2 linked regions of the Ovis aries genome follow. The protein of the gene in region 2 purifies or fractionates together with the protein of the main gene of each other region. This does not show direct contact. Links are inferred from orthologs where the notes say so. Each region holds a gene or a part of one and is shown on either strand. Other genes may lie near its edges.

Region 1 (3,855 bases), on a different chromosome or scaffold from region 2:
TTTGTTACTGAGAACATATGGATGACAAAAATATCCAAATTAGATTTATGGCATGCAACATAATTCTACTTTATATTAATTTTGATAGTTTAGTATGAGAATCACAGGCAAAATAAAGACTTGAGCCTTTTTAAGACTTAAAATACAAGTCTTTAAACATAAAATGCATGTAACTACTCACCTAGGTCAGAAATACCTACAAAGGAAAAGAACAATGGTTTGAGAAAAAGAAAGTACATGCATCAGTTATTAATCACTGTATAGAAATATCCAAAATACAACAAGAAGGAACCAGAAGCCAGTGGTAGAAAAAGCACATTTTAGTGCTGAAAAGCAAAATGATGAGTGTATTTCCTAAAAAAGTTTTAAAGGATCATAAAACAATATAAATCAAGGTAAATTCTAACATTTCAGAGAATCAGAGAGTGAATGACACTGAAAGTAGTTTTGGTTTCTGGGGACTCATCTCTTTTCATGAAGCAATCAACTAAATTTTCACACAGGAACTACAGTTCTTGTTTATTCCCCCACTTCACATCAGCTCGCAGGCTATTTCAGGAAGTCACAGTCCATTAAACCAACCACTTAATCTGGTTCTCAACCAAAGAAACAGGGAGCTGACCCAATGCTGCAGGAAGAACAGGCAAAGATGGACAAGGCAAATAGCTCTGTCTCAACCTATTGCCAGACTAAACTCTGTGGATTTCTCCACTTAATCCTTTCATACAAATCCTGATTTTATTTTCTGCTTTGATGAGAAACCGCTATCTATCTCCCTCTTAAGTGAGTCAACCACAAGAAAAAGAAAACTAACTTCATGTCTGAGTTATTTTTTGATAGCCTTGATTCTACTTCTTGCCATTAAATCATTCTGGTTGGCCCTAATGCTGTTAAAATCCCTGCACTACTTAAAATCCCTGAGCTACTTAGACCAGCCTTGGTTCTATGATGCAGTTTCAACACCCTCACCCGAGAGAGGCCTGTATCACTAGTTCTTCAAATGCTACCTGACGTTCAGTTTCTAAAAGACAGTGGCATTTAGGAAGTACTATTTTGATCTTGAGACTCCAGATCTCTGTGATTTCAGTCACACAGCGCTTCATGCAGATGTGACTACTCCCTGCAGTTACAATGTGTAATTGCCACCAAATTCCCTGCAATCTGAGCTATTTGCAAGCTGAAGGCCACACAGCCTGACCTTCCCTTTTCACCTAATGTCCCGGGGTGAGTTCTCAATCAGGGTTGTCACAGAGCAGCCACAAGGTATGCTTAAGTAATTCATTATGAATATTTTTAAAGTGCCAAACCTGTTCAATAATTTTACATATAATAGGCAAATAAAGTCAAGGTTAAAATATCTCTTCACTCACTAAGATTCCACACTGGCTGGAATTTGCGTTCACCATTGCTAAACCGGGTGTGTCACCTGTCACAGGTATGACTGAAATAAAATGCTGAAAACACTATACTGCACAAGAGATGAAATATGCATGCCAGACGGGTTTAGACCAGAGAATGGAGCTGGCAAGTTTAGATCAGATGATCAGTTGTTTAAAAAAAAAAAACTGAAAAAGTAAAATACCAACACTTCAGTTGCACTTACTCATCCCCTTCCACCCGGGCAAGACTTCTGGAGTAATACTGTCCAGCTCTCGTTTAAAGTCGTCCCGGGCTTGGACCACGAGCTCATGATACTGAGACACGACCTTAGCCTCAGATTGAGCTGCCTGAACCTGAACAAATACAAGGGGTATGTGGTTAAAGTGAACAAAAAATACCATAAACACTCCAAAAAATATGTCATATTCATGTATTCATTTACATTTGGTTGTGAATATATAAGTAATACATAGGAAGAAATCTAAAGGTCAGAGAAAGGAATGTAAATATTGTCTTTGTTTCCATCTAATTCTGTTCAAATGCCATGGATAAACCCTTTCCCATCTCCTTATGCCATTGGCCCTCTTTCTCTGGGTCACGGAAAAACTGACCACACAGATCAGAAGTGCAGACAAAAGAGATGCTACAAAATGGAAATTTCCGTAAGTAGTAAAGACCATGAGCAAACACTTACCTATTATAAAATGTATCAACAATACTGAACAATCCACTTCATGTCCAAAGCAAGTTTCTAAAATTAGTAACAACTAATATTCTTTTCCAGGGGAAGGGAGAAAGATGAAAGGAATCTTAATATTTTCCTGAATTCTTAAAAACCCCTTGACAAAACAACGACATTAAAAAATAAAAAATACTTATAAAAGACCTGAAAAACACACCTTTTGGACCACATTATCCAGATCAACGATCATGTTGTGAAGCTTCCCCTCTGCAGCGGTTATATGAGATTTGGCCCCAGCAACCTCTTCTTTCTTTGCATTTTCAATTACACTCTTCATCTTCTCTAACTCTTCTCTGGAAACCAATAAAACAAAGGTTTAGTATTAATCCTTGGCAACTTTATTAAAAAAACTGAAATCAATACAAGTTATAGCCACAATTGTAACAAGTTACAATTAAGTCTATGAAACATTTAATTTGAAACAACTACTCAATGCTTTTTCACACTCAATAGGCAGAGAAGTTTTCCTCACCAACAACTGAAAACACCTCAGTTTTTTAGCACCTCAAGTTAGATTTAAAGAGTGGACCAGATGAGTAGCATGGTGTACAGGAAAAGACATAGGCTTCAGAACCCGGTAGACCTGGATTTAGCTCCCAGATCAGCCTCTCCTTTGTTGCTCACCCTGGCATAGGGATTAGAAGTAATTCATGAGCAGTGTTTTGCACAGTACCTGCTACTGTGCTATCGAGAGCACTCAATAAATGGTAGCTTTTGCAAGGATTAGATTGATTCCCTTGCCAATGAGAGCTTGAGGAAGACAAAGGCAAGGGAGAAAATCAAAGAGCTCACTGAGCATAGAGCTGGGTCTTCTGGAGCCCTCTCGATTCAGGCTGGGTAGACTATAATCTACAAACCACAAACACAGAACTCAGAGCTCTGAATCATAACCTACTGATGTGATGAACATCATGCGGTCAATCTCCTAAAAGACATGTTAGCTTTATCAGAAAGCTTCCCTTTCTCTATCAATTATAAATATTATGTTAAGACAACAAAATTCTGAATGACAAATAACAGTTCCATAATGTTGATGAGAACCCATTTTCAAATACAGGTTCCTATTGACAGAGATTGAACATATTTGGTTTGCTTGCTTGATTCTAGTTTTAGCCAACTTTCAGGAATCAAGGTCAAGGTAGCATAAAACTAGACCTATTATATGCTAACTACTTTGGTAGTTAAGGCAAAGAGAGTGTGACACACTCCTTAAATTCTTATAAAACTGCTCAACCCATCCCAGAAAAACCTTGAAATAATGGCAGAATCTCTGTAAACCATAGACATATCACCTAAGTAATACTGCAAATAAAATACAAAATTGTTAAGTAAGTTTCTGCCACATTTATTTTGGCCAGATTATATATTCTATTCTCTCTCTTCCTTTTAAATTTTCATGTTCCTAAAACCAAAATACAGTATAGGTGGAGAAGGGAAGGGTTTCTCTGCCTCCTCTTTCTATGTAGACAGTACAAAGAAAACAGAGCCAAAAGAAAGCCACCAGGAGGCCCTAATTACTTGTCAAAGTCCATGAGTAATTACTTGGCTTTGAGAAGGGCATCAGCAGCCTCATCTACTGCCTTTCTGCGTTCCTTCAATGCACCCTCCACTGTGCGCCACTGAGCTGATTTCTTGTCACCTGCAATCTAAACAAAAAGCTTTAGTTATGAACACATGAATAAACATTAGTACTGTCACAATAACACGACTAAATACAGAAAGTCAAAGGTTAA
Region 2 (3,855 bases):
ACAGATGGACAAACGAATGGATGGACAGACGAGTGGCTGGCTGGCTGGCTGGCTGAAGTCAACCGCTCCAGTGTGGCTGTAACCTGGGTCCTGGGCCGCACCCCGCACAGGGAACGCGGCAGCATGATGGGTTCCGCTGCAGTGACATGGCCCCTTGGAGGGTCCCTCTTCCCCAGATGCCCCTCCCATCTACCCCGAGCACCCACCTTAGAGGCCTCGGTGAGGATGAGCTTGGAGTCCTTCACCAGACACTGCAGGGGCACGGTCACGTCGATCACCTTCACCTTCTCACTCTTCTTGCTCTTGTCATTGACAAATTTCCCGTACCAGGCGTTGACGATGATGAGCCCTGAGGACAGGCCTGGTCAGGGCAGGGCAGCCTTGGCAGACAACCCCCGTGCAGCCTGGCTGCAGGAGCCATGTTTCCTGCGGGAACCCAGCACCCACCCCGTCCTTTAAAGAGGCCAGGCCTGCTCACCCATTCTGGACTCTTCGGCCTCGATTATTCTTCGGACAGATTCCTGCATCAACCGAACCTGCAGGGGACAAGGACGCTACTATCAAGGGCTCCCTAGGCTCCATCAGAGTCAGGGCCACGTGCCTGGTGCCTGTCGGTCCTGCTTGTCCATTTCTCGGGACATCGCTGCTATTGCAGTCTTGGAAAAACAATTCAATCACAGGAAGAAAGAGGACAACACCCACCACTTTTTAAAAAACCTGGTTATGTCTTTGCAAGGTAATGGTCAACTCTTCAGGGCACAGACAGACGCTCCCAGCGCTGCATCCCACAGGCAATAACGTAAAGACTAGATGACCAGGGAGGCTGTTGGGGAAGAAAAGCCCAAGACCCAAGTCCCCCGAGACCACTCTGCAGGGTGTGAAGCATGTCCCCCACAGCCCCGGTTTAAGAAATGTGGACGAGAAAGGATGGGACATGGGTACGGCCTGTGCTCTGCACGATGGGCAGGTCCACGCTCAGACCCTCACAGGGCAGAGGCCTGGAAGGGAGCCGGTGACACAGCACTTACGGCAGCTTCTGCCTCTTGTTTCTTCTGCAGGATGTCGGTGGCTGTGCTTTCCCGTTGCTTCTCCAGTTCCCTGAGGCGAGGAAAACACAAGCCACGTGTGAGGAACGTGGGGTTACCAGCACAGGAGGCCACGGTGCTCCAGGCTGGACCTGCACCCTGCAAACAGCCTGTAAATCTTACTGTGTTCCCAGTTCTAGAACTTTAAATACTATTTCCAAGGCAAGTTCAAGCAAATCTGTTTGCCCCAGGCCTGCGCCGCTGTCCTGTGGTCCCCAGATGGCTCTCCCCGACCTCAGTGGGAGGAGGATTCCTCGCAGCAGTAATCTCAGGAAAGGGGGAGAGGGTGAGAATCTCAGGAGATGCCCCCAACTAGGCATTACCACAGGACACCCTTGGCAGGGACAAGGCACACTTCCTTGTGATAAAATACATGTATTTTCCTCCCAGCAAAGCATGGGGACCTGGGCAACACACACGTGTCCTGGCAGCCCTGGCCCAGCACATCCTCTGCTCCAAGCCTTCAGTCTGCTGGGGAATTAGGACACCGAATTTAAATGAATCAGAGGCTGGAGGCGCCCCAAGAGCCTTCCTTGGGCTCCTCTCTCCCCAACTAAGTTCAGTGATCTATTAAATGAGATCATTGTAAAGTAATGAAGTTAAACCTCCTCTTAGGTTTAATGCTGTGCTAATGGATCATCTCTAAGAAACTGCAAAATAAATTACATCTAGATGACTTCCAAGACTGTAGTTAACATGGGCCTTGTTTGTAGGAACTCAGAGCCTGATCTCTTTGAATTCAATGCCAGGCAAAGAAATGGTTAGAATGAGAAAAAGGAAGACTTCTCATTTCTGTGGTCATGGCTTACAGTCCCAACAGTTTGGTAAACTAACTCTAATTCTCTCTGAAAGTAGGAAATGTGGGTAGACGGGAGCTAACCCAAGTGTCGCCAACAGTAGTACTACTACTACTGATATCAACTATAATGCTCACTGAGGACCTGATGTGACTGACTCCGCAGTGAGCACTGTCTACCTATAGCTTAGGTGGTTTCCCTCACAGCCCTGTGGGGTGGCTGCTACCCTCTCCACGTCACAGATGGGGAGCTGGGCACAGGGTGGTTCGGCCCTGTACCCGCCAGTGCTGAGAACTCACTTCTCCTTCTGAGCCCTGAGGTAGGGTCTGATGACCAGGCGGTGCAGGGCGAAGTACACCACGAGCGGCCCCACGGTGGCATAGAACACGGCACTGGGCAGCAGCTGGTCTGTCAGGTGGACGGGGAAGAAGTAGGTCTGACTGGCCCTATTTAACCTGGGAATAGAGCAAAGCCGAGTGCCCACGTGAGTCAGGTTCCCAGGGAAGGCTGCGGGGTGCGGGGCTGGTGTCCCAGCCCCAGGAAAGAACCTCTTGACACACAGGACCTGGGGAGGCGGAACCCAGTCTGCACGCCTCACGGTCATCCCCCGAGTGGGCCTCTAGGTCTGGCAGAAGAAAGGGCTCGATACCCGCTGACTGCAAGCAGCAGACTCTCACCCAAGCAGAGCAAACATGGCCCGGGGAGGCAGGGGTGGCCACTCCTCCAGACATCCTGTCAGCTCTCAGTGACGGCTGAGTGGCTCCCACTGGCCAGGTCACCCCACAGACATCAACTGTGAACTCTTGACCAATGTGACCCACACCCTCGGGGACCAGACAGCAACCGAGGGCAGAAGCACCAACTGGCACTGGTGAGCTGCTGGACTTTTTAAAAAAAACAGCCTTTAGCCTGAAGGCAATTCTCAGTCTATACCACAATGGATGATTACAACTGCAAAGAAATCTGTAGTCCTACTGAAGAATTAGAGTTCAGAGTCTGGGGCAACTATTGCGTCTGGGAAGAGGGGGGGCCCCCCAAAGGGAAGCCCCAAGTTCTCAGTGTGCCGGAGATCCCCAGAGGATGCCTGGTGCTGTGTTTTGACTGTTGCTACATGGGTAAGCCCAAGTTTGCAGCCAGACTTCACCCAAATTTTAAAAGGAAGCTTTCTAAAAGGAAACAAAAATTAACACTTAATACAATACCAACTATGCTACATACCCAGATACAATGAGAAAAAGATAATGAAGAGCGATCTCAGATGCTGGAGCCAGCAGATAAGGATTTTAAAGCAACTATTTAAACTCTGCTCAAAGACATAACATATTCACTGATGGTTTAACATCAGATTGGAGATGAGAGAAGAGTAAGAGAATTTAGTAGAAATGATCCAATGTGAAGAACAAAGAGAAAAAGGATTGAAGACAAATGGGCAGAGCTTCAGAAACCAGAGGTTTAGCACAGAAGTAATTACGGCCCCAGAGAGGAGAGGATGATTAAAACTGCAAAGAAATATGCACTCCTACTGGACCGAAGAATCAGAGCCCAGAGTCTGGGGCAACACTGCAGCTGGGAAGAAGTATATTAAATATTTAACATTTAACGAATTAATGGCCTAAAAGTTGCAAATAATTCTACATAAATAAATACATCAATTTATAGAAGCAAGAAGTTTAGCAAACCCCAAGCAGCAGACATAGAACAAAATCACGTGTAGCTACACTCAGGTGCTGAGAAACAAGAGTAAAAAAAGTTGAGTAACCGGGGGAAAATAAACAAAAGAGACATCAGAGTATAAAGGTTCAAAAGACCAATGACTTGTCAGGAACAGAGGAGCCAGAAGAGAGCAGAACACTGAGAGAGCACTGCGAGAAAACTCCATCAGCCCTGAACCATGTACCCAGCGACAAGACCCTTCAGGAGCGAAAGCAGCTCCAGAAATAATGAAGAATGCTCAACACTAAAAGGAGAACTCC

The links. The genes of interacting proteins can lie anywhere in the genome.
Region 1: the proteins of DNAJC11 (region 2) and IMMT purify together in Homo sapiens (co-immunoprecipitation; 3 studies listed by BioGRID and IntAct, with this or other methods). This does not show direct contact. The link is inferred for Ovis aries from reciprocal best matches to the Homo sapiens genes DNAJC11 and IMMT.

What each region holds. Positions count from the first base shown.
Region 1 is NC_056056.1:58,063,804-58,067,658, forward strand, and holds part of IMMT (MICOS complex subunit MIC60), read right to left. Parts: intron 3,769-3,855; coding exon 3,665-3,768; intron 2,416-3,664; coding exon 2,280-2,415; intron 1,734-2,279; coding exon 1,604-1,733; intron 197-1,603; coding exon 182-196; intron 1-181. UniProt on the Homo sapiens protein: Component of the MICOS complex, a large protein complex of the mitochondrial inner membrane that plays crucial roles in the maintenance of crista junctions, inner membrane architecture, and formation of contact sites to the outer membrane.
Region 2 is NC_056065.1:46,123,520-46,127,374, reverse strand, and holds part of DNAJC11 (dnaJ homolog subfamily C member 11), read right to left. Parts: intron 2,338-3,855; coding exon 2,182-2,337; intron 1,769-2,181; exon of another isoform or gene 1,569-1,768; coding exon of another isoform or gene 1,099-1,568; coding exon 1,029-1,098; intron 537-1,028; coding exon 479-536; intron 350-478; coding exon 207-349; intron 1-206. Other genes in the region: THAP3 (THAP domain-containing protein 3), read left to right, coding at 1,059-1,568.